Linked DNA regions of Tribolium castaneum. The protein of the gene in region 3 binds, or shares a complex with, the protein of the main gene of each other region. Links are inferred from orthologs where the notes say so. Each region holds a gene or a part of one and is shown on either strand. Other genes may lie near its edges.

Evidence for each region.
Region 1: nuclear pore complex protein Nup93 (region 3) and Nup160 share a complex: the UniProt entries of both Homo sapiens proteins name them as parts of the nuclear pore complex. The link is inferred for Tribolium castaneum from reciprocal best matches to the Homo sapiens genes NUP93 and NUP160.
Region 2: nuclear pore complex protein Nup93 (region 3) and nuclear pore glycoprotein p62 share a complex: the UniProt entries of both Homo sapiens proteins name them as parts of the p62 complex. The link is inferred for Tribolium castaneum from reciprocal best matches to the Homo sapiens genes NUP93 and NUP62.
Region 4: nuclear pore complex protein Nup93 (region 3) and Nup98-96 share a complex: the UniProt entries of both Homo sapiens proteins name them as parts of the nuclear pore complex. The link is inferred for Tribolium castaneum from reciprocal best matches to the Homo sapiens genes NUP93 and NUP98.
Region 5: nuclear pore complex protein Nup93 (region 3) and Nup214 share a complex: the UniProt entries of both Homo sapiens proteins name them as parts of the nuclear pore complex. The link is inferred for Tribolium castaneum from reciprocal best matches to the Homo sapiens genes NUP93 and NUP214.
Region 6: nuclear pore complex protein Nup93 (region 3) and Nup153 share a complex: the UniProt entries of both Homo sapiens proteins name them as parts of the nuclear pore complex. The link is inferred for Tribolium castaneum from reciprocal best matches to the Homo sapiens genes NUP93 and NUP153.
Region 7: the proteins of nuclear pore complex protein Nup93 (region 3) and Nup35 are in contact, whole or in part, in a crystal structure (PDB 7MW1), measured with the Homo sapiens proteins. The link is inferred for Tribolium castaneum from reciprocal best matches to the Homo sapiens genes NUP93 and NUP35. Residues at the interface, in NP_055484.3 of Homo sapiens: Tyr266, Tyr269, Asn402, Ala407, Asp408, Lys409, Thr410, Glu411, Tyr413, Tyr448, His452, Phe453, Val455, Asn456, Leu461; in NP_612142.2 of Homo sapiens: Ala88, Pro89, Pro90, Val91, Arg92, Ser93, Ile94, Tyr95.

The regions. Positions count from the first base shown.
Region 1 is NC_087395.1:25,108,763-25,111,286, reverse strand, and holds the end of Nup160 (nuclear pore complex protein Nup160 homolog), read left to right. Parts: intron 1-33; coding exon 34-296; intron 297-341; coding exon 342-645; intron 646-692; coding exon 693-892; intron 893-939; coding exon 940-1,072; intron 1,073-1,117; coding exon 1,118-1,300; intron 1,301-1,347; coding exon 1,348-1,514; intron 1,515-1,659; coding exon 1,660-2,001; 3' UTR 2,002-2,024; downstream 2,025-2,524. Other genes in the region: uncharacterized protein LOC100142578, read right to left, coding at 2,041-2,240, 2,423-2,483. UniProt on the Homo sapiens protein: Functions as a component of the nuclear pore complex (NPC). Involved in poly(A)+ RNA transport.
Region 2 is NC_087396.1:18,040,756-18,044,746, forward strand, and holds nuclear pore glycoprotein p62, read right to left. Parts: upstream 2,591-3,991; 5' UTR 2,489-2,590; coding exon 2,419-2,488; intron 2,367-2,418; coding exon 2,178-2,366; intron 2,129-2,177; coding exon 2,015-2,128; intron 1,968-2,014; coding exon 1,841-1,967; intron 1,326-1,840; coding exon 975-1,325; intron 927-974; coding exon 815-926; intron 712-814; coding exon 556-711; 3' UTR 504-555; downstream 1-503. Other genes in the region: ankyrin repeat domain-containing protein 12, read left to right, coding at 238-503. UniProt on the Homo sapiens protein: Essential component of the nuclear pore complex. The N-terminal is probably involved in nucleocytoplasmic transport.
Region 3 is NC_087398.1:8,838,601-8,842,603, forward strand, and holds the start of nuclear pore complex protein Nup93, read left to right. Parts: upstream 1-1,203; 5' UTR 1,204-1,351; intron 1,352-1,480; 5' UTR 1,481-1,490; coding exon 1,491-1,654; intron 1,655-1,717; coding exon 1,718-1,898; intron 1,899-1,950; coding exon 1,951-2,241; intron 2,242-2,319; coding exon 2,320-2,462; intron 2,463-2,518; coding exon 2,519-3,038; intron 3,039-3,219; coding exon 3,220-3,433; intron 3,434-3,481; coding exon 3,482-3,852; intron 3,853-3,900; coding exon 3,901-4,003. Other genes in the region: vari (protein PALS2), read right to left, coding at 583-706. UniProt on the Homo sapiens protein: Plays a role in the nuclear pore complex (NPC) assembly and/or maintenance. May anchor nucleoporins, but not NUP153 and TPR, to the NPC. During renal development, regulates podocyte migration and proliferation through SMAD4 signaling.
Region 4 is NC_087403.1:3,514,342-3,518,277, reverse strand, and holds the start of Nup98-96 (nuclear pore complex protein Nup98-Nup96), read left to right. Parts: upstream 1-1,136; 5' UTR 1,137-1,328; coding exon 1,329-1,392; intron 1,393-1,442; coding exon 1,443-1,571; intron 1,572-3,312; coding exon 3,313-3,936. Other genes in the region: uncharacterized protein LOC656938, read left to right, coding at 1-29, 82-210, 260-390, 437-780, 824-937, 991-1,058. UniProt on the Homo sapiens protein: Plays a role in the nuclear pore complex (NPC) assembly and/or maintenance. NUP98 and NUP96 are involved in the bidirectional transport across the NPC. May anchor NUP153 and TPR to the NPC.
Region 5 is NC_087398.1:6,201,336-6,204,955, forward strand, and holds the end of Nup214 (nuclear pore complex protein Nup214), read right to left. Parts: coding exon 639-3,620; intron 591-638; coding exon 563-590; 3' UTR 501-562; downstream 1-500. Other genes in the region: ribosome biogenesis protein WDR12 homolog, read left to right, coding at 1-487. UniProt on the Homo sapiens protein: Part of the nuclear pore complex. Has a critical role in nucleocytoplasmic transport.
Region 6 is NC_087394.1:31,192,339-31,194,990, reverse strand, and holds the end of Nup153 (nuclear pore complex protein Nup153), read left to right. Parts: coding exon 1-459; intron 460-510; coding exon 511-590; intron 591-647; coding exon 648-702; 3' UTR 703-2,152; downstream 2,153-2,652. UniProt on the Homo sapiens protein: Component of the nuclear pore complex (NPC), a complex required for the trafficking across the nuclear envelope. Functions as a scaffolding element in the nuclear phase of the NPC essential for normal nucleocytoplasmic transport of proteins and mRNAs.
Region 7 is NC_087398.1:12,058,577-12,061,444, forward strand, and holds Nup35 (nucleoporin NUP35), read right to left. Parts: upstream 1,627-2,868; 5' UTR 1,489-1,626; intron 1,440-1,488; 5' UTR 1,433-1,439; coding exon 632-1,432; 3' UTR 501-631; downstream 1-500. Other genes in the region: Hou (glucose-induced degradation protein 8 homolog), read left to right, coding at 194-373. UniProt on the Homo sapiens protein: Functions as a component of the nuclear pore complex (NPC).

The DNA.
Region 1 (2,524 bases), on a different chromosome or scaffold from region 3:
AATTAAGCGCCCTCAACTAATTAATTATTATAGATAGCTTCCTTCTCGCCGCGTCTTTACTAACCACTGGTGAACCGTACAAAGCGCAAGAACTGTTCGAAAATGCGGCCAAGGGTATTTTCACGGACCAATTTTTGGCCCAACGCATCCTAACCCCTGACCACAACCAAACCAAAGCCTACATTAACTACTACTTGAAAGTGATTCATTTGTTCGAATTGCACAAATCGTACGATTGTGCGATCGCTTTGGCCAATAAGGCGCTCAGTGTCACCTCACCGGACGACCCTTTGACCGTAAGTGCCATTTGAGGCAAAGGGCGCCACTAGTGTTACTTCTAGGCCACTTTGTACTCCATCAAATTCAAGCACCATTTGGCTCTGAAAAACTACCAAAGTGCGTATGACTCGCTCAATGCCAACCCGGATTCCGACAGACGCAAGGACAATTTGCGCGACTTGGTGAAAAAATTGCTGGATGAGAAGAAGTTGGACGTTTTGATGGGTTTCACGTACAGCGGGATGGAGGAGCTATTTTGTGATATTGTCTCGACGAGGGCGCGCGCTGCCGACCCCTCGAATAATATTTACTACGATTTTTTGTACGCTTATCAAATTAAAAGAGGGACCACTTTTTTGCGGGCCGGTACTGGATTATTTTCTGGTCGATTTGTTGTGATTGGTTGGTTGTAGCCGCCTCTGTGATGTATGAACAAGCCTTCCGACTCAGCCAATACAGTGATCCTGACTCGTTGGAAAAACAAGTCAAGTGTTACCTTGCTGCGAAAAACGCCCTAGCCTTGTGTGAGCCTCAATACGCTTACATCGTAATGCCCGTGGAACAAATCGAGGATAAAACCATCACTTTACCCACTTTTGCCGGCTCGGATGACGTAAGTAGCCTAGCATTTGAGGCGTGCCTCACTCAAAATTTCAACAGGAGCCTGAAGAAATCATAGTACGCAAACAAGTGAACATCATCAACCTTGAAATAATGTCCAAGGACTTGGCGTTCGCCAGCGCCAAGCTCAAGTTAATTCGCTTCAACCCGCGCAACTACTTCGAAATAACAAGTGAGGCAGCCGTGAGGCACTTTTAGGTCTTAACTTTGGTTTTAGATCCGCACGAATTGGTGATTTTGTTGACTAGTGCCGGTTTGTTTAAGACGGCGTTGACAATTTCGAGGACTTTTGACGTTTCTTACAGGATAGTGTTTGAGGCACTTACGAAAAAATGCGCGTCGTTGTCCAAACAGAACGAACCGGTGACTTGGAAGTGGCTGATTGAGAACAATTTGCAAGGTTTGAGTGTGGTTTTGGGGGTTGGGTGTGATAATTGAGGGTTTTAGATTTGCCAGTTGGGACGAAAAGTGCGTCGGAGGCGGCGTGGAGCCTCCTGCAGGAGTGTGTGGAGGAGTACGAGGAGGAGAAAATGTCCGTTATTCATAAAATCGTGTGTAAGCAGGTTATTAAGATGAATCTGTGGATACCGCAGTGGCTGCTGTCGTCCTATAAGGTGAGGATTTGAATTCGAATTTCACGATTTTTTTGAATCTTTATAAAATCTGCGATTTCGCTTTTAAGTTGATCTGAATCATATTTTATGAATTTTGATTTGAGAATAATTTGAGTTCGCAATATCGTATTTTTGGGCGTTGCAGAAGCGCAACCCCTCCGAGCTCTTCCGCCTCTTGTACACGTCTGGCCGGCTGGAGGAAGCCGCCGAAATCGCCTCCGAGTACATGATGGCGGCCTTGGGCTACGGTAAGGAATACTACGGTTTCGCACACGCCATGCAACCCACAACACCAGCCGTCTGTCTCCCCGTTCGCGGTTTCATAACTCTTATCAACCAACTGAAGCTGATCAACTCAAACGACCCGGAAAAACCCTTCCTCCGGGAATGCGAACACTTATCAAACGTCCTCGATACGTACCTCAAAACGGCACAAAGAACCTCGATCGAGATGTGCAACTACCACTTAAGCCTGGCGATGAATTAATAAAGTGATTGTTTCGTAAAAAAGTGTTTTATTTCGTTTTCATTCGTACGTTTCGGTTACGCTCCCCACTGTGGTGAAGGTCAGGTAGATGGTGACGATGAGGAGGCAGCCGGCGACTGTGGTGATAACCAGGGTTGGGTGCTGTCGGAAGACTATCAGCAGGAGCACGCTGGCGACCAGCATGATAGCCGCCAGGAGCGGAATCAGGATCAGAGGGGCCCATTCGTTGCCTCTGATTTCTTGAAAAAAAAATTGTTATTGCTATAACAAAACTCGCCAAAAACTGCGTGATCTATTATTATTTCGAAGAATTCGCCGAAAAACCTTATCTGCAGTTTACACTTGCGGTTAAAGAGCTCCTTGATCTGTTATTTCGAGTAGAACAAGTCGCACTTTAGCGTTTATGGCAAAAAATGCTCACCTGCGCCCAAGGAGGTGCCAAACCCGTCCTTAAAATCCCACGTCCTTTTGCTCACATTCATCCGTTTCGAATGCGAATAATAAATCTTCGGTCATTGTTGCG
Region 2 (3,991 bases), on a different chromosome or scaffold from region 3:
TTGCTAAATATTTAAAATTACGCATTATATCATTTTCGTAAAAAATGGACTTACACTTCTTTAACTCGCAGGTACAGATTATCTATCGATAAACCGTTCAAGAAATCGGGCGTCAATCAATTAATACGTTATTTATCAAAAACTTTGGAATTTCAAAACGAGCAAAAGTATGAAATTACAAATTCTTTATTTTTTTAATCAAAAAGCTTTGTTGCAAGTTTACTCATATTTTTGTAGTTCCCAAAATGGATCACCACACTATCCCCAAAATCGGGTTTACGTCAACGCAGTGCAAACCCGGCACAGGTTTTCTGCCAACAATTAATACGAAAAAGGCCGTGACACTCGAACTGTGCCACGGAAACGACAAACAAGTCATATCACTGCCTGCGGATCGTCTGGATCAGAACAAGCGATACTACGTCACATTTACAGTCAAGGGGAATGAAGGAAGCCCCCCAGAGGAAGAAACAAAAAGCCACAGACATTCAAAAAGCGACTAAGTGCAATATCTTGTTAGATTTATTGTTTGATATGAGAAATTTGTACAAGGCGTTATTGTATAGAGGAAATTTTAATAAAAACGTTTTTCTTGTAAGTCTCATGTAACTGTGTAATCTGTTCCAAATGAGAGCAAATCTGAGACGAGTTTCTATCAATCCACTGGAGCGAATTCATGTGGGCATTTAGAATGCGACTGACTTGAATGACCTACAACATACACACATGATAGGATAGTGAGTCGAAACAAAAATGTGGCCAAGAGTGCTGTGAAGTAGGCAGAGCAGTCTTGACAACATTTGTTGACACAAACCGGATCAGTAATATCTTCATTTTTGTTAGACTCGTTCAAATGTTCCACAATTTCTTTCAAATCCTCGGACATTTGCTTCAATTGGGAGTCAATTATTTCAGACAATTGATACCTAAAACACCCACAGAATGTCGAATATTTTACTGTAATAAACAATTACGTTTGGAATCTATTCTGATCCGTGACTGGAATATCAGTTAATTGTTTCTCTAGAGGAAGACTCAACTCATCTAATTCATTATCTTGAGCTAATACGAAATCAAGCTCTTGGTCTAGTTGTTTCTGCTGCTGTTTCACACGCTCAATTGTTTCATTCAAGGCCAATATTTTATCAGTGTTTGAAACCAACAGGTTATCCCAAGCGTTCAGCTGTTTTGTTTGATTAATGAAGAATTTTCCTTGTTCTTCCAAGTCTATAGTCCATTTGTTGATACAGTCCTCTAGCTGAGCATAGGTTAAGGTACCAGAAGTTGGCAGACTTGCTGCTGTTGTGGTGGTCACAGCTGGCGCTCTTAAAAATTATACGAAACATATCAAAAGTGCTGTAAAAATTTCCCGGACGTATGTTCATAAACTCTTATATTTAATGAAATATCAAAACTACAATATAATACAAATCAGGAACCAGGTGGAGCATTGTCAACGCTGATTTTAAGTTTGTTAAAAAAAAAGATTTCAAATATTTTAATCAATATTTTACGCAAGATATGGTTCAAAATTTGATAAATTCGACATACAATAATAAAACGGTACGAATTAAACGCACAGTAAAAATAATAATGTCTAAGTATGCAACTCGCATATGCTCGTTGTATAACGACAGCCCTCGAACTTTAACCTAGTGTGTTCGCACTCGTATTATATGATCAAAATCGAATTTATTAATAATCTTTTTATTAGTACCCTTAATAAAATACTAGTCAAGACATACTTTAACTAAACTTTCACAGTACTCTTGATATATGTTATTATAAACTGTGACACGCATTTGCGCGGGTTAAAAGTATTTATAATTAGAGTACATACTGTGTAGTAGCTGTAAGCCCCCCTAGGCCTAAACCAGAGGCTGATGTTGTTGTTGTGCTTGAAGGGGTTAGGGTTGTGGTTAGTTTCAAAGGTGCGGAAGTTGCAGCGCTGCTTGCCAACGAAAAACCTAAATTTAAATCGTGTAAAGACTACAAAACCCTAATTTTTTTAAACCTGAAGATAGGGATGTCCCTGTGGACAAAATAGGAGTAAACGAAGTGGCAGCGGTGGTAGTGGTTGAAGCACTTGTCCCTAGACTGAACTGCGGCGTAGTCGTCGAAGTCGCAGCTAAAGTTGACTAATTATTACATAAATTTAACAAAAAAGGGTTACTAACGAGTTATTGTAAAGCTGGGAGTTGAGGTTGCGCTTGTTGTTGTTAAGCCGAAACTTACTGACGCTGTTGTTTTGGGGGTTGTACCCAGGAAAAACCCGGTACTGGTCGTAGGAGTACCGAATAGATTTGTTAGTGGTTTGTTAGGGGTTTGCTGTTTGGTATCGCCTGCACCGCCCGTAGCTGTGGTGGCTGTGTAATAAAAGGGTTAGTTGCGTTTTGGTTAGCAAAATGTCTTACGTACTGGCAATTGTGCTAGTGGTAGGTAATGTGAAACCTGTAGCCGTTTTAGGGGCACCGAAATTGAAAGACATTTTCAGAAAATTAGTTAGCTTCAAGTAGCTTCACAAAATTTATAGGTTAGCTTGACGTTAAATTTTAAAACGATGGTGGCGGCACTAGTGGCGATTGAGGGAAAGATGGATTTTTTAACCATGGCCTCATAAAATTTAGGAAGGAGGAAAATTAAGTTTCAAATTATAATCATAAGTGTCCGTTGGCGTTTCTAGTGTCATAAGCTTCCATATTCCACTTTTTTATAACAGAAGGTTTTATCTTTATTTTTGTTACCCGTAAGTAAAGTCAAAATTGTATAAAAAAAACAAAAAAAAAACAAAAAAAGTGGAGAGAATTAAATTTTCTCTAAAAAGATCCGAAAAGCCAAATTTTTATCTTTAATAATAAGTTTAAATTGTTTTAAAGTGCAAATTATTTTCCATCACTCAAACATTCAAACCATTAAAGATGATTCCGCAAACTTTTTTGTGAGAAATTTTAATCTTCTATAACTTTTTAATTTTTATATCTTAAACCCTATAGACCGCCTTTCAAAAAAATATAGGACGAAGGATAATTTAAATTTTTGTCATTACTATTTTAGTTGGTAGTTTTTCTCAGACTATTAAGAGATTAATATATTAAGATTATTAAGATGCTTACGAATCAAATTAAACAATTTGAAAAGGGGAAGATCTACAGTGTCTCAAATCGCTCTCATTTAAACTCCACCCTAAATTGGTGAGTTACAGTGGAACTCGGTTATAACGAACACTCAAGGGACTTCAGAATTTGTTTGTTATGTATTATACCCGATCGTTTGTTTTATCCGAACATCGTCGTTTATAGAATAGTTTTCAAGTCAACTGAATTCTAAACGTGAAACAGATACACGAAATAAAGTATTAATTTAATTTATTAGAAAAGCATATTTATCTACATTCATCTATGTTTAATAGTTATCTAACAATTCAATAATTTTTAGTTTCGTATCCTAAATTTAAAGATTTCTAATTACTTGGTCTGTTTATGTGCCTGCTGGAATGTCGCTGTAAGTGCATGTAAGTGCTGTAAGTGCATGTGCGTACGTTATAACTTATAACTTATAACCGAGTCCTAGACCACTTTTTTGTCTAAATTTCGAACGTTAAAAGTGAAGTTCATATATTCACTATAACCGAACTAATTTGTTATTGTAGTGTATTAAGTACTGTACCTATATAGAAAAGGCTGAGTGAGGTAGGGGGAAGCAAGTAGGAGAATGACGAACGGGCACTCTTGCTTGTCCCGTCGTGGTGTTAGGAGTGAATAAACAATTATTTGGGGAAAGTGGTATTTTATTTAAAAAATATTACAGTTATTATAATATAAATATAGGGCTTTAAAATATGAGTTTCCATTTCTTCGTTAAGTTGCTTCCACACCAAAGCTGATTTGGTGTGGACATGCCGCTCGGCCATAAGTTACATGCCACCGTTACACGTAAAAAAAGCCGATCATGCCGATTAAGCTTGCCAATCGGACTTGCCGATCGTCATAGT
Region 3 (4,003 bases):
AAAAGCTCTTGCCGTTCTTTTCAGGATCGCGGTAGATGCTGAAATGTCTGCGCTTACAGTGTACTGATCTTTCAGCAGTGGCGATTCTAGTCTGCGTTGCTATAGATACATCCTGAAGCATGCTTTCAGGCCCGGACTTATAATGGAATTAAAACTTAATAACTGATATGATATGTGGTAGTATTTACTTTCAATTAACATTAGCATCGTACATGTTAGTTTTAAGCAGTTATGTAATTATATTCTAAATGTCTGCTGATGTACATTAAATCAATTCAGAGAGCACATTCAATGTTTATTATAAATTTAAGAACAATTTTAAGACACTATCCACCTTTAAAAAATGGCATTGTGTTAAACAAAGCAAAATTATTTGAGAAGTATTTCTTTAACACATTTCTCTTATTACGAATAATATTAGGCATACCTGCACTGGATGCTAACTGTTGATTAGGTGATTGAAAAAACGAATAAATCCCACAGTGGCATAAAACTGACTCGATAATAATAAAATATTGATAGAACACACCAATATGTTAACTTAATTTAAAATATTGAATAGTTATGGTCAGTGGCATTTACCTAATGCTGAAAAATCCGTAGAAGTGCAGCTTCTTTTCACAACCCTTTTACACTGAAATGCCGGTTGGTGATTCTTAATGAAAGGTCTACATCCCCATTTAATTGCATAACAGGTGCGCACCATCGTTAAAAAACTTTACAGCACAATACAAGTCTATTCTGCTATTTATAAATGTTACTTAATAAATAATCGATAAAGAAAGAATACACGTTTTAAGGATGTTAAGCCATTCTATTAACAAAACATTTCAATTTCGCGACGTCTGTTTCATCAGAGTACGGCGTTAATAATAGAAAGAACGAACTCGCAACTGGAAAAAGCGTCAGGTGAAGCTTCACCCACGCATTACCTTGCTATCTGGACGAATTATCGATAAAGCTGGAACAGCTTTCAAAGTGATTTCCAGCACGACATCGACGCTCTATTTTATGTTTACGGTTTATGTTACAATAAATCGATAAAAATTTAGTTGTATTATACGAAAACAAAACTAAGAAATATACATTAGAAGATATGATTCCGAAAACTGAAAAACAAAACGAACTTGGGGATTTGTTCAGTTTCAGTGCGTCGGCAATCAGAATCACTGAAACTGAAATCGTAAATTTTGGGTTGCCTATATGTGCTGAAACTAGCTGAAAAAGTGTATTTTGGGTTACATAAGCAGCATCGTTTTTAACCGTTGCATGTTTGTAGCGGCATTTTTTACAAGAATTACAAAAGTTCACGAAAATACGTTTTAAATTGTGTGTTTGAACATCAATTCAAGTAGGTTTTTGCCGATAAATTGCTTCTTGTTATGAAATACATCAATTTTATGTATTTTTGAAGGTTATATTGTTGTCCTAACCCAACTTTTAGTTTCTTGTTTTTGATTATTTTTTCCAACATTTTTAGAAATATCAACATGGGCGACTTTGCCGACCTCCTCCAGGAGGCTGAAAAAATCACTGTTGACATTGAAGGGAGTAAAGAACTGCCAAAAGTTGATAGATCTATTCGGCAGGTCTTGGAAGCTTCTAACGATTTATATTCAAAAGTGGCTCAAACTGGAGCAAAGGACATTCAAGCGTATGTCTTTGACTTATTCACTGTTAACAGAATTAAATATAACGTGGACGTAACAAATTTCAGGAATTTATTGTTAGGATCAAAAGGCGTAGACTTGCCAAAAATAATACAAAAATTGGAATCAATTAGTACCAAGCGCACATTCGAATCCATTGAGCCGGTTGAGGACGTAAATGCAGTCGGAATTCTTGAAAATGAAATCCAAAACTGCATTTTGAGTGTATTTGAAAACGGTTTCAATAAAGTAATCCATACGTGGTTCCCAAAGTGTACATACGCATAATTACATATTGTAGTGCATGAAAACAATTTCCGACTGCTCTTGGGAACACCAAACTGGCGAATGGAAACAAGAAAAACGAAAAATCCTAAATTCGATGCTGGGACCATCTGGGGCTTTCATAGAAATTGGAAAATATTCATCCGTTTTTATGGAGAGGCCTATTTCTATTACCCCCAACTTAGGAGTGGCAGAGACTCTCTATGCCGCCAAGATTATGGAATACAATCAAGCAATTGGCAGGAGCATTCAGAAGCCAAGTCTCATAAACAGCTTCATCAGCGTGGCAAATGACTTGAGAGACGCCGTAAGTTTTTGCCTCATTTTGATATCAGACAAAATTTTAATGACAACATACAGTCGTTCTTAAGCTTAAAAATTTCAGAAAGTTAAAGACATGTGGGAAATAATGAAATACATGACTCAGTTGCCGCCGTTTCCTCAGTCAGAGGATCAGATTAAAACTCGAAATTCTGCCCCTTTCATAAACGCTTTGGTGAAACAAGGCAAGAAATATCTGGAAGATCGGTAATTTATTTTTCTAATTCAATGAAAAAAGACCACAATTAGGTAAATAATTCTAGATATAAGACGTATATGAGTAACATCATTAACGAAAACCTATCAACTGCGATGCTTGGGGGAGTTCCCGGAACTTATCCCTTAGTCCGCAGTTACGTCGGTGTTCGCCTCCAAGGCGAATATTCGGGCTTGAAAGATGACAAAATCGATGGAAGGCCTTTATGGCCCATGGTCTACTACTGTATAAGGAGCGGAGATTTAGCAGCAGCAATTTATTGTCTAAAGAAGAAAAACGAAAAAGAGTTTCAAGACATTGTTGCTATTTTGGAAGCAAAACTCAATAATCCTGACAGTCCAGATATTTACAAACTGGAGGATAATGTGCGCTACAATTATCGCAGACATGTACGTAACGAAACTGACCCTTTTAAGCGTATCGTCTGTGCGGTGCTTGGCTGTTGCGATGTCGTTGATGAGCATTCGGAAGTCGCCAGAACCGCGGACGATTATTTATGGTTGAAATTGAGCTTAGTGAGAGCTGATTACGAAAAGGACGACCACATTAAGTACAACGACCTGCAGGTGTGTACACTATTTACTTTACCCAACACGTTTATTAGTTATTGTATGCAACAATTATTGTTATTTGCATTACTATGTCCAATACTTTCAAGAAAAAGTTATTTGTTTTCAATTTTTACGTAACATTTAGTTGTTAACGCTCGTATGTGTTTCCCACATTACGTAATACACTATTCCTTAGCGGATGATTTTGGAAGAGTATGGTGAAGCTCATTATGACGCCATGAACCAACCCCACTTATATTTCCAAGTGCTCGCATTAACCGGTCAATTTGAGGCCGCTATTGAATTTTTGCCCCGAATTGAGAGGTACCGAGTTCATGCTGTCCATATGGCCATTGCCTTGAACGAGTTGTACTTATTGGCTGGCTCACGGGACAGTTCAGCACCACTTAGTATGTAAAAGTTTTTGCGATTGTTTGTTTACTTATGATTTTTATTAGTTAGTATTGACCCAATGGATGTGAAACCAAGTCGCCGCTTGAACCTGGCGCGTTTAATTATGATTTATGTTCGCAAATTTGAAATAACTTGTCCTAATGAGGCGTTGCACTACTTTTATATCTTGCGCAATTTTACCAATGAGGATGGAGTGAATTTGTTCAAGATTTGTGTGTGTGATCTGGCTATTGAAACCAAGGAGTACAACAAGATTTTGGGGGTCATTCAGCCCAATGATATAAGAACCAAAGGGCTGATCGACCAGTTTACTAACGCTGAAATCAGTGCGGAAAACATTGCTCAAATGATTGGCGATTCTTTGGTAAAGAAGGGATTATTCGAGGAAGCAATAGATGTGTTTGATTTGGCTGATGTGAGTGATACTTTAATAAACAAATATCGTGTTAATATTTTTTTACAGAATCAAGAGGAGGTTTTGAATTTATTTTGCACTTTGCTGTCACAAGTGGTTCATTTGCCTTCTCAACCAAACTCTCTGAAGGAGAGATTGTTGGAGAAGGGAA
Region 4 (3,936 bases), on a different chromosome or scaffold from region 3:
TCGAGATGGGGCAAGGTATCAACACTAAGGTGACCAGTGACTTTGTTTAAATTTGAACTAATCGTACACGTGTAATTGAAGGTCATTCAAGTGTGTGCCTACAAGTTGAAAATTCCAGTCGAAAAAATTTCGGTCAAGCCTAGCAATAATTTGATCGCGCCTAATGCCCACATGGTCGGTGGTAGCTTAACATCGGAAACAGTTTGTCACGTATTACCTCACTCTTGTTTTTTTTGTTTTTCTCAAATATCTATCACAGGGTGTGATTAAAGCGTGCGATATCCTGTTAGAACGCATGGAACCGGTCAAAAAACAGCTCGAAAATGCCAGTTGGGAGGAAATTGTGCAAGAATGTTACAATCAATATGTTAACTTGTCGGCCTCTTCAATGTATAAGTGATTCGTTAAGTAATTAATTTCCGAATAATGTTTTTAGGGGTAGCCCTTCCGAACTGAAAAATTACGCGATTTACGGCGTTTGCTCCTCCGAAATAGAGCTGGACGTTTTAACCGGGCAATATATCGTGCAAAGGGTTGATTTACTCGAAGATGCCGGTACTAGCATGAACGCTGGTATCGATATGGGGCAAGTCGAGGGCGCGTTTGTCATGGGCATGGGTTATTTCACGTCGGAGAAGATTATTTTTAGCGAAAGCGGCGAGTTGTTGACCAATCGCACTTGGAATTATAAACCACCAGGCGCGAGGGACGTTCCAGTTGATTTTAGGATCAAATTTCCGGGCGATACGCCCAATGGCGTTGGAGTTCTCAATTCCAAAGGTAAATAGCTTGAATATGGAATCATAACTGTGGAAAATTGTAGCTATCGGGGAACCACCGCTATGTTTGGCGTGTTCAGTCCCGTTGGCGATACGCAACGCCGTTGCGAGTGCCAGAAAGGAAACGAGAAATTCGTGCGATGAATGGTATCCTTTTTGTGAGTTTTTTGTTAATTTGTTACATAATTGGATAATGAATACAATTTTGTAGCGGGACCCTCAACTGTGGAAGACGTTTTCACGAACTGCTTACACGATTTTAAGCAATATACGTTGTAAAATAAAAAATTGTATTAATTGGTTTGGTTTAATAAATGATAGCTGCGCAGTTTGAATTTAATTTCGCGCCACTCGCAGGTGGCGCCACCGCTTTTTACAATAAAAACAAGATGGTTGTCGTAAATAAAATTTGCGGTAGTTTAACCGTCTGTTGTGTTTTTGTGGCAAAATATTAGTAAAAACCGTCGTGTTTTAATGTGGTGTTAATGAAAATCAATCGCTGCATCTCCTGTGATTTCTATGGATGCCTAACCAATTGTGGTCGTAAATATGTATCCCAACTTTATGAATAAGCCAGCATTCATGAATAACCCACCGAATTCAACTTTTGGGGGTAAGTTTGCCGAACTGAATCGGTGGTTGTTACCGTGGTTGGTTTTCTAGCGTCCACTTCGACTTTCGGACAACCTGCCCCCAACACCTCTATGTTTTCATCAATGCAGCCCTCGAACATCTTCCAGTCTGCGAGCACCTCGTCCTTCGCATCGGCGCCCACAAGCCAAACCAGCTTCGGTACGTACACCCAACAGTTGTTAAAGTTAGTAGGAAACAGAAGTAGTATAACCTCACACTTGCCCCCATGATTGCCCATTATTGTGCAACACGTTCCCTTTTTGTTTACTAACACCAAATACACTAATTTGTATTTTACTAACCCGTATGATGAGAATTGAGTTGGTTTGCGCGAATGAGAGAGTGATTTTTGACAGATCAGCATTGCGATAATAAAGCGTCTCGAATTTGTATTAATTTTATTATGATTGTGACAGTTGAGCCGCCTCTCCCGCTGTCTCCAGATGAGGAGAACTACCTGACGGCCGCCTGTGAGTTTCTATTTTTTTGTTACTTTCAATATTTTTCATGAATTTTTTACAGATAATCGCGAAGCTATACGTAGATTTGAGGTGCAGGGTGGTGGTGAGTAATATTGTTCTACTACAGCCTCGTTTACGTTTCCTTGTCTTTTCAAAATGTACATTCTTTTTTTAAAAAAATAAATAAATATGTAAAAATAAAACAGATAACGTTTCCTTATGAAGTTATGACGGAATATCCCATACAACTCTTGTAAAAAGACGATACTCTCTAGGTCTTTTATTTTTTGTATACAGGGTGACCTGACTAATATTTCTATGCCGTTTTCATGAATTCATAGATCTACTCCAAGTACAAACTAAACACCTTATATATAACATAGTTACATTCCACGTAAAAAATAATGTAACCTTTATACTTTTATACTATTAATAGTATCTTTTTCCTGGAGATTGTACACATTAGAACTAGAACTCGCAGACGTTTATTATTCTCACAGAATTCAAGAGTTCAACTAATAAAATAAAAAACAAAGTTATAAGGCATTTTACTTGATTTTAGATAGCCCGGGCTTGGTTGATCCAGCCATTTTGAGATACGCTGGTGCTGGTGAGTTTTTTTGTCATAAATTTATCTTTATTATTTTCTGGAATTTTTAGGTGAGATTTCTCCCAGACCACCGTATCCCGAATTTCATTCACCTCGCGCTGCTGAGCCGGGACCCTCTGGTAAATCGAAATTATTGTTAAGTTGGAATTGTTTCTATATTTTTTTTTATTTAGGAGAACAGAGAGTTCCACAGCCATTAAGCCCGTTTACTATTACACGTAAGTTAATTTAAGGTATTACGTATATATTAAGTAATTTTCAATAGGCCAAGATGGTAGACCTCTTAACCGACAATTGACCCAATATCTTCAAAGTAGTAAGTATTGCGACAGTTGAGCTTTTCGATTTTATTTTCTTTTAAGTTGGTGGTGGCGGTATTTCAGTTGCTTCATGTGTTTGTAAGTAACGGTTTGTTATTTTCGGCCAAAATTTTTTTAAATATTTGATAGGTACAACAACCAGTTCTATGACTTATTCTATGGCCAATATTTCCGATCCAGAGTTTGGTAAGCTAAGTCGATTGAAACAATTAATTTAAAAGATTCATAGGTTTAGCTGATGAGACAATGAGCGCCCATTGTAAGTATACTTCTTGTCTCATATATCGGGAGACACTCCTATGATTTGTATTTATTTGGTTATTTTATTTTATTGTTTAGCTAGTTTAACTAGGATGTCTTGTAAGTCGTCGTCTGGTAAGTGAGATATTCAATGATGGTTTTAACGGAATGATGTGTGATCCCTATCCATATCCTTTTTTTTTCCCAAGCACAGAATGGGCAATAGTCCGATATTTCATCATTCAGTTTCTTAATAAATCTGTCTGTAGGCACAAATCCCTTTGGCCAGCAACCACAACCATCAACTAGCGGTTTATTCGGTGGCTCAAATGCATTCACTCAAAATAAATCATTCGGATTCGGCTCGGCCCCTCCTCAGCCCGGATTATTCGGCCAACAGCCGCAACAACAACCCGGAACCTCTCTTTTCCAATCAAACACTAATACAATGTTATTCGGAAGTAACGCTTTCGGAAACCAGACCACCGGCACTGTTATTAAATTCAATCCGGTTACGGGGACCGACACCATGCAAAAAAACGGGGTAACCCAGTCGATAAGTACCAAACACCACTGCATCACGTGCATGAAAGAATACGAGAATAAATCGCTGGAAGAGTTGCGATTTGAGGACTATTCGGTTAACCGGAAAGGACCCCAACAACAGGCCGGTTTCGGAAGCACCCCTTTCGGGGCTTCGACCACTACAACGCCCTCGCTTTTCGGGCAAACTGATAACAAACCCGCCTTCGGACAACAACCGCAAGCATTCGGCCAGGCGCCGGCTTTCGGACAAACAACACCAGCTTTCGGATCGACCAACACGACAAGCACTCCGACTTTGTTCGGAAAACCGAACACTTTCGGCGCTACCACTAGCACCCCAAGTTTTG
Region 5 (3,620 bases), about 2.6 Mb from region 3:
AGAAACCATAACTTCGACTTCCTGGATTGACAACCATGTAATTTGCACTGTGTCAATGGACCATACGATTAAATTTTGGGATGCTGAGTTGTGTGGTATCAAGAATGAAATAGTTGGCCAGAAGGCATTTTTGGATTCTTCTTGGTCTTCCCTATCTAACACATTATTAGCATGTTCAGCTGATAGACATATTCGGTTGTACGACCCAAGGTCTTCAGAGGGTTCAGTGGTCAAGACTACTTTCACCTCACATACGCTATGGGTCAGTTCAATTGAATGGTCAAAATACGATGAACACCTTTTTATGTCGGGAGGATACGATTCTGGTGTCAAATTGTGGGATTCCAGAAGCCCTAAAGCCCCACTTTATAATTTAGAGGGACACCAAGGGCAAGTCCTAGCTGTAGATTGGTCCAATAACAAGTATCTGGTCTCTGGAGGGTGCGACAATAGTGTACACATTTTCAGAAATAATTATGTGTTTTAAGTGAAAAATAAAATTAATTTTAAAAAAATTTATTAGTTTCAGCTTACAAAATTTAACGTAAAACATTTTCCTTCATTAACGCCAACTGGAGAATGAGGAGCTCCTACAAAAAAAAATGTACTATGCCATTTATCAGTTTAAAAATTCTTACCCAGAGAACGGCGCACTCTGCGCTGGGGCGTTGGCAGCTTGCTGTGCCAAATTCCCAAACCCTACTGTTGGTTGATTGGCTAAATTACCAAAAGCTGTGTTCTGGGTACTAGCAGCTGCCCCAAACCCGGGGCTTGAGGACCCAAACACCTTTGAAGTATTCCCAAAAGCCGGTGGGCTGCCAAACGCCGGCGCTCCTCCAAAACTAGGCGAACTCCCGAAACTGGGCGATCCCCCGAAAACGGGAGCTGCCCCAAATCCCGGTTTTTGGAAGCTCTGACCTGCCCCAAACCCGGTTTGTCCCACAGTTCCACTCCCACCACTGAAGGGCCCCGCAGGTTGCTGACCGAAACTGCTACCCCCGAAGAAGGACGACTGTTGGCCGAAGGAAGATTGGTTCCCGAAACCGGTACCAAAACTCTGGGACGTGTTACTGAAGAGCGATCCACCACTGGAACCGAAAACTGAGCCACTTGACGACACTGGAGAGGCTCCGAAAACGCTCTTATCGCCCCCGAAGGGGTTCGCAGGTGCACCGAAACCCGAACTTGCAGTCGTTGAAACATTGAGACTTCCGAAACCGAACGTTCCGGAACTGGTATTGGTGCCGAAAGTACCGGACTGAGTAGTGGCAGGGGCGAAGACATTCGACGAACCGAAAATAGAGGGAGTCGTAGATGCAGGTGCCCCAAAAAGTGAGGGGGCAGTGGACGCAGGTGCTCCGAATAAAGATCCACTAGTACCGAAAGTACCTCCGCTTGTAGTCGTTGCCCCAAAAATGCTCCCAGAGCTCGTAGTTGGTGCATTTCCAAAGACGGAACCACCCGTTTGGCCAAAAGCGGGTGCTGAACCCCCGAAAACGTTCGTACTACCTGACGAACCAAAAACAGAACCTTGACCAAAAGCGCTTGTATTTTTGCTCCCATCGAAGGGCTGGCTTTGGCCGAACGTTGAAGAAGTTGTGGTACCACCAAATATCGACGGCTGTGTGCTTCCGAATATTGACGGTTGAGTCGCATTTGGTTTTGCATTAAATAGGGAAGGCTTTTGGGCGGCGTCTCCAAAAAGACCGAACCCTTGAGATTGAGTTGTCGTTGTAGGACTGGCAAAAGTCGACTGAGTGGTACCAACAGGAGTTCCAAAAACTGGGGTAGTGGGAGAGCCGAAAATTGACGATTGTGTCGTAGCTGCAGCCCCAAATGAACTAGTAGACAAAGGGGTAGCACCACCAAAAATCTGAGTGGTAGGTGTGGTAGCGCCAAAAACAGTCGCTGGTGAAGTACTTGACGAAACATTGCCAAAAATTGACGGCTTTGATACATTACTATCGGTACTTGCAACAGTACCAAAGACAGAAGCTGTAGTGGAGGATGATGGCAGGGCTCCGAAGATGGATGGTTTCGAAACGTTTGAATCCGTGGTTGCAACAGCCCCAAAAACACTTGATGCAGTTGTGCTGCTAAATATTGACGGTTTCGAGGCGCTAACTTCGGTACCACCAAAGAGTGGTTTAGTTGAAAGAGCACCACCGAAAAACCCAGTTGTGGGCGGAGCTGAAGATATGGTTGGAGACTGAGTAGTACTACTAACAATAGAGCCGAAAATTGATGAAGTTGTCGCTGGCGAAGAGAAAATTGATGAAGTTGTTGCTGGCGAAGAGAAAATTGATGACGTTGTTGCTGGCGAAGAGAAAATTGTTGAAGTTGTTGCTGGCGAAGCGAAAATTGATGGAGTTGTTGCTGGCGTTGAGAAAATACTAGTTGAAGATGGGACTGTTGTAACAACAGGAGCTGTAACACCGGTAGTTGTAACAGCTGTAGTAACAACAGTGGCCGCACTGGTGGCGATTTTCGGTGTTGTAGTTACGGCAGGAACAGCCGGTGAGGGAAAAATAGATGATTTAAGTGCCCCCAATGAAAACGGTGAGGACTGAGTTGATGGAGTGCCACTGGTAGTACTAACTGAATTTGGAGCTGTTACACCAAAAGTGGGTTGGATTGAGACTGGACTCGAGACAGCTTGCGTTGTTTTAGGACTGGTTGTTACAGAAGTCGTAGGGAAAATTGAACGTTGGGTACTGCTAGCAACGGGGGAAACGGCAGAAACCACCACATTTGGAGTACTTGTTGCAGAAGTAACTACTGGCTTTGTAGAAAACGTAAAGGTTTTCGATGTCGCAGCTTCGGTCACTTTTTGTGTTGCTGCACCGAAAATACTTGAAGTATTAGTAGCGCCACCGAACGAAAACTGGGTGGAGGTTGGTGCTGTGGTGGTAGCAATACCAAATGACGGAGTAGAAGTTTTCGTAAAAATCGTACTTTCCGCGGTAGTACTAACACTCGTGGATAGATTAAAAACAGAAATAGACGTACTGGGTTTGGTAGTCGCTGCACTACTTGTTAAAATGGGCGCCGCACTAGTAGTTTGTAAACTGAACGAAAATGTAGTTTTAGGCAAAGATGTGGCAAAGAGGTTTGTCCCCACCTTTGGGGTACTGCTAGTAACTGGTTGGGAAGACAAATTAACAAACGATTTAGGTGCTTGCATGGTTGCAGTACTAGTCACTGCCACAAAACTGGGACTTGTTTTAATAATAGACGCTGTCACGGCTGTAGTTGCAGCCATGAAGGTGGGTTTGTAAGTATTTGCTGATGCAGAAACCGAAGTTGAGACAAAAGCCGAATTTGGAGACCCAGCAATCACGTTTTTAGTCAAAGGCGTGAAAGTTTTCTCGGGCAAATTTGTGAAATTTTTAGCCTCGAATTTAAGGGCTAAATTTTGTAAACCTTCGATTGGAGTTGCCGTGGAGTCGAATTTGAGCACAGTGGGTTTGGGAGTTGACTGCGCAAAATCGAGAACCCGAGGTGCAACTGAAGTTTTTTCGGGAAGCCGACTAAGTTGTTTTGGCGGAGTTTGGATTACGGAACTGGCCAATTGAGGCTTCACGAATGAAATATGTGGATATTCTCTTTTTTGGAGAAAA
Region 6 (2,652 bases), on a different chromosome or scaffold from region 3:
GGTTCGGTTCCGAAAATTCCAGCCTTTGGGGCGTCCCAGAGCTTCGGGACGAGCGAAAGCAAGCCGTTTGCGTTCGAAAGTGCCCCCAAAAATGCGGGTTTTTCGTTCGGTCAGGCCGAGAAACCGAATACGACGCCCGTTTTCAATTTTGGGAGTGCAGCAGCAGGGGCGTCAAGTGCGCCAAATACAGGGTTTAGCTTCTCGGTGCCTAGTGCCGGGTTTAACTTTGGTGGTGCGCCCAAAGTGGAGAGTCAGCCGTTTAATGCCGGGGGGAGTGTTTTCGGGACGGCGGGACCAGCGGCCAAGAATGGGAGTTTCAATTTTGGGACAAATGCGAATAATAACAATCAGAAAGCGGTGTTTAGTTTTGGGGCTAATCAGACTAATCCGCCGCCGAGTCAGCCCAGTTTTCCCAGTCAGGGACAGAGTCAGCCGGGGTTTAATTTCGGAGCACCGACCGTAAGTTAATTGTTTTGTGATGGTGATTTTTTTTTAATTTATTGTTTGCAGCAACCACTTAATGTACCCGGGGGTTTCAACTTTACGGGCGCCCCACCTACATTTAACTTTACAGATGGAAATGCAGGAACGTAAGTAGTTGTATTTGTTTATTACGAGAGAAGTTACAAGTGAATGTTTCGGTTTAGGGCGCCGCCCCAGCGAAAAATCAAGAAAGCGTTCCGACGGACGACGCAGCGATAGTTTCCTAGAGTTTGTATATAGAGGAGTGATTGTATCGTGAAACAAGAAATTGGAGTTGTGTGAGTACGTGTTAAGTTTGCTTAAATTATGTAAAGAATAAATGTGTGGATCAATCACCTTGATATTAAAAACAATATTTGTTTTCAGACCTATAAATGTTAGCTAGGCATTAATAATAAATGGGCCACCTGTGAATATTCGAGTCCAGGCATTCGTCTTTCGAACATGTAATATAACGTTGAAAATCTTCAGAATTTATTTACCATATCTGAATGTCTGCAGTTACAAGTAATGTTCACAGATGCGTCGGTGTACAAATGACACTGTTGTACACGGCATGTTACTCCCTACATTGTATACCATAGCGTAGGCATTTCAAAGGTCTGATCCATAGAATGTAGAATTTTATAATGATGATGAAGAGGATTTTCATCAATATTGTGTGATGATGAATATGATGAAATATTTGTGAAATTTTTGAATGATTCGTACCATATAATATTTATATGACGGCCAATACTGGCTACTTTTACTGTGATATTCTTATGGGTCAGGCCCCATACATAAGTATAAACAATATGCATATAAATATAATATCTAAACTAATCAACACAGACAAAACGAATTATTGTTTTTATTGCAAAAGTCCATGGTAGAAGACTAGATTATTTTTTTACGTTGTAATTTGGTTTGTTGGAAGAATTTGGCAGCCAAGTTGTTTATCAAGGATTGCTGAGTATCGAACTAGTAATTATTGCAATGCAATAGTATTTATTTTTTATTGTTAATTTAGTTTTTGTCTGTGTTATCTTATCAAAAAGTAGGCTCACTCCTTAGTTCCTCAAATTGAAAAAGTTGTAAATATTTGTTTAAAAGTGTGGTTTTTAACAACACATCTATTTTGTATAATTATATTCGTAGGATATATTTAAATGAATAATTTTTGTTGTCTGAAATACTTGTGTTGTTTTACGTAATGAGCCGTTATTGGGCTCTTTTTATGTGAGAAGTATTAAAAGGAGTTAGACTGCTTCGTGTAAATATTGTAATTCTACATGAAATAAAACGTTTTGCTGAAAATTTCATTTTTACTTCAGCTATTGTTATTCCTAATTCATTTATCACGAGGTTGCGTTACTTTTTACGAACGGATGGAATTTTCAGCATATTTGTGCCTTTATTTTTTTAATGTATAATTTTATTAGTTATATTTGTCAAGAACTTGGCCTAGTTTTGTTTAAATTATTTTCGTTTGGGTAGTTTTACATATTTATGTTGAATGTGAAGTTTACAATGGAAAACAACTGACAGGAGCACCCTATTTTTTAATGTTCCAAATCATTCCTACTACGCTAGTATCTTTTTAAATTATGCAATAATTTATACTTAATAAAGCCAAGTTTTGTTAAATTTTGTTTTAGTTAATAAAATTACATTAGTTATAAAACCATCATGAGTATGTATTGACCTAGTTTCTTTTTAGATCCTGGTACTATCTGAAATTCCTGCAGTTGTTCTTAGTTACAAAATTTGTGTGGAGGACAATAACTTTACAACTAAAAGTCCATATAGATTAAAAAGTTTTAATGTTACTTGTATGGAACATTTCAATTTTATAAGATTATATATAACAGACATACACTCAAATACATGGAGACAACTATACAAAGTATTTCCTCAGCCAAATGAAACTGTGCTAAAACGTCTGAAGAGCCTTAATCCTGTGGAAATTAAGACTAAGGATTTGCGTCAAAAGTTGTACTTTTTTACAAGTTATAATTTTAAAAGTGAAAATAAAATATAATACAAAAGAGATGTAAACAAGATAATTGTATAAAATCGTCCTACAGTTGTCATATTCAATTATCTGGATGTACAAAATTAGTGTAACTTTATTTATATTGAATATAACAATTGTATTTTATAAATTTCTTACATTAAAGCAACATA
Region 7 (2,868 bases), about 3.2 Mb from region 3:
ATGCACTTAAAATAATTAATAGCTAATGTAATTTATAGTTTCAACTATTTATTAACTATTTTACAATTTTATGAACCACATTTAAAAAAATAATCTGGTAAAATGCGACGTTGGCGATTTTATAGTTTTGCTTACAATTTTATGAATATCGATAAACACATAGGTATACTTAAATCACCCAATGGTTTTGCAGATTGCGAGTGAGGTAAATGCAGCGATTTTAAAAATGGAACACCAAGAAACAACGGCTTCGAAAATCTCAACGCTACTTAAACTAGTTCTTTGGGCACAAGACAAGTTGCATAAGAAAAATGTCAGATATCCGAAAATGACTGATTTGGCTACTGCTACGATCGAGGACCCGAAAAATTAAGACCAGTTTTGTTATTGTAGATTTTAGTTAAGTTATTCAGCTATTGCATCATTAGTTGTCAATTGTGATCACAGCGGTTAGAGTTTTTTTGTAAATTTGTATACTAATTATTAATAAAGGAAAAACATCAATTGATAAAGTAGTTTCTTTAAAAAAAAAATACATACATCAAATTACAACTTCGTTGATTAAGTCAAGGCGACTACCTTGGTGAATTAATCAAGGAAGCTTAGTACAATAATAAATAACAACTAAAAATCACCAACCAAAAACATATTCAATGGCTTTCGACACTAAACCAGTGGACTTCTGGGGGACATTTTGAGGTGGCAAGACTGAATTATTACTACTTGGACTTATATACGAGTGTCTCAGACTCCTAGCTCTAACCGGCGACGTAAAAACATTCTCATTTTCCTTATTCTCCTTATTATAATGTAAACTAACCCCGATCATAATATTATTATTTATACATCTACCGTTGAGAGCCAAAGCCCGGGGCACATCACACAGGTTGTTAAACTTAACGTGCAACCAGTTCCCCTGCGCTGGCACCTTCTTTTCCACTATAACCCCACAGTTGCTCAACTGAGCCAACACCAGGCTCAGAGCGCTCGGGGGAAACCCAAACACGGTCACCCAGTGGGTGTCTATCTTATCCACGCGACTTAAATTCGTCGTTTCGTTCAAATTCCGACTGTAATTGAAACTATCCCTGAAAGTGTCCCCGATGGCCGTTGATTGCATCACGGGGCTCGTGGGCTTGCGTTTTTGCTCGATTGTGTCAAAGAGGCCCTGACTGGGGGGCCCGGGTTTGTGCGGCGCGAAGGGCTTGGGGCTGTCGAGCGTTTGGTTGAAGAGTTTGGGGTATGAACGCGGGTCTGGAGTGCTGGTGGCCCCCAGCTTGCGCGCTGGGTTGCGGTTGCGGCCAGGGGATGTGTTGGGGGTTGGAGTGGACGGCTGGGAGGTGTCCCCCATGAGGAAAGCTGGGAGGAAGTTGGGGTTGACGCTGGGGGAGGAGGGGCTGGATGGGGCGCTGCCGAGGGTCATGGGCTCCATGGCAAAGCTGCAAAGTGCGGTTGTTTGATGTAAAAAAACAAAATTAGTAAACTTACCGAAGTAAATGATTCGAGTTTTTTGTAAAATGTAAATGTCAGATTTAGAAGTGACAAATGACAAGTAACCGAAATTTAGACGGCTAGTATAGTCAGTCAGCAAAATTGTGCCGCGCACTGTTGGTTGCCTAAGTAATTTCGGTATAATATTTTTTTTACTGATAAATATGTGGATCATTTTGTTCTTACATGTTTTTTTACAGTACAATGGTAATAATTAAATTTTAATTAACATTGACACTTATTTAAAAAATTGCTTATACCTAAATAAAAATGTGCTAAAAGTGTTAATTAGTTAAGACAACAGAACTTGCCTAAATTAAATAAAATTCGATCCAGATTGCTGTGTATTGCACATTCTACGTGAATTACTGTTGCTTAACAACTGAATAATTTTTGACAGTCCGCGGCAATTTGAAACAAACTCTACCTAATTTGTTTTTGTTGTAAAACGTAAAACGAATCCCCCCAGCTGTTGAAAATAAAACTTGAAACTTTTTCATGGATCGTTTAGACGAGAAGTAAAAGTTAGTGAACTTTTCACTTTGACGCTTTATTCGCTCAATAAAAGTAACGTTGAATAGCATCAGCAAAAAAGTGACGCTTTTTCATGCTGAAAGCGTTATAAAGTTGAGCTGAAAAATCGCATTTTCGTGATTTATAATGGAACTACTTATTTTGAAGCACTGCATATGTTTGTATATTTTTTATTTCTGTATCTGCAAGTGTTATCTTTAAATTTTCAAATGTGAAATAGTCACGTATAAGTATGTTTAACATTTGAAATTAATTATTTCTGAACGTAATCTGTGGTGGTAACACGTAATCCCATAAAGGATTTTAAAACCGAACTGAGTTATTAAATTTTTGCTAGAAATGAGAAATTCTTCTACGGAGAAGTTTTTATCATAACTCACAGTAAATATAAATTATCGATGACGCACTTATTGAGATTATAATCTTATTTATTTACGTAGAAATGTACGCAAGTAGGTAGGTACTCGAAATTTTTTAGAATGTTGAAGATTAAAACCTTTTAGAACTTTTACTATCAGTATGTTAAAATATTTAATAAAAATTTACAAAATTTAAGCTCAACAAAGGAATGTATGAGAAAAAAGAGTAGTTGAAAAACGAATGCGCGAATTATTCACGCATATCATGGTAAACCAGAACTGTGAGATGTTAAAAGCAAAGTATATCGGGACAGAGTTAAGAAAAAAGCTTTTATAACCGACATTGTGACTACGTTTAAAACTAATCGTTCTGGAATACTGACAGCAGTTCTAAATTTTGTATTTTGCTTTGCTACCAACCACCCAATTTTGCAGACAAATTTTTCAAAATCTATTAATTTTTTTCTAAAAAAGTTAGAAAATT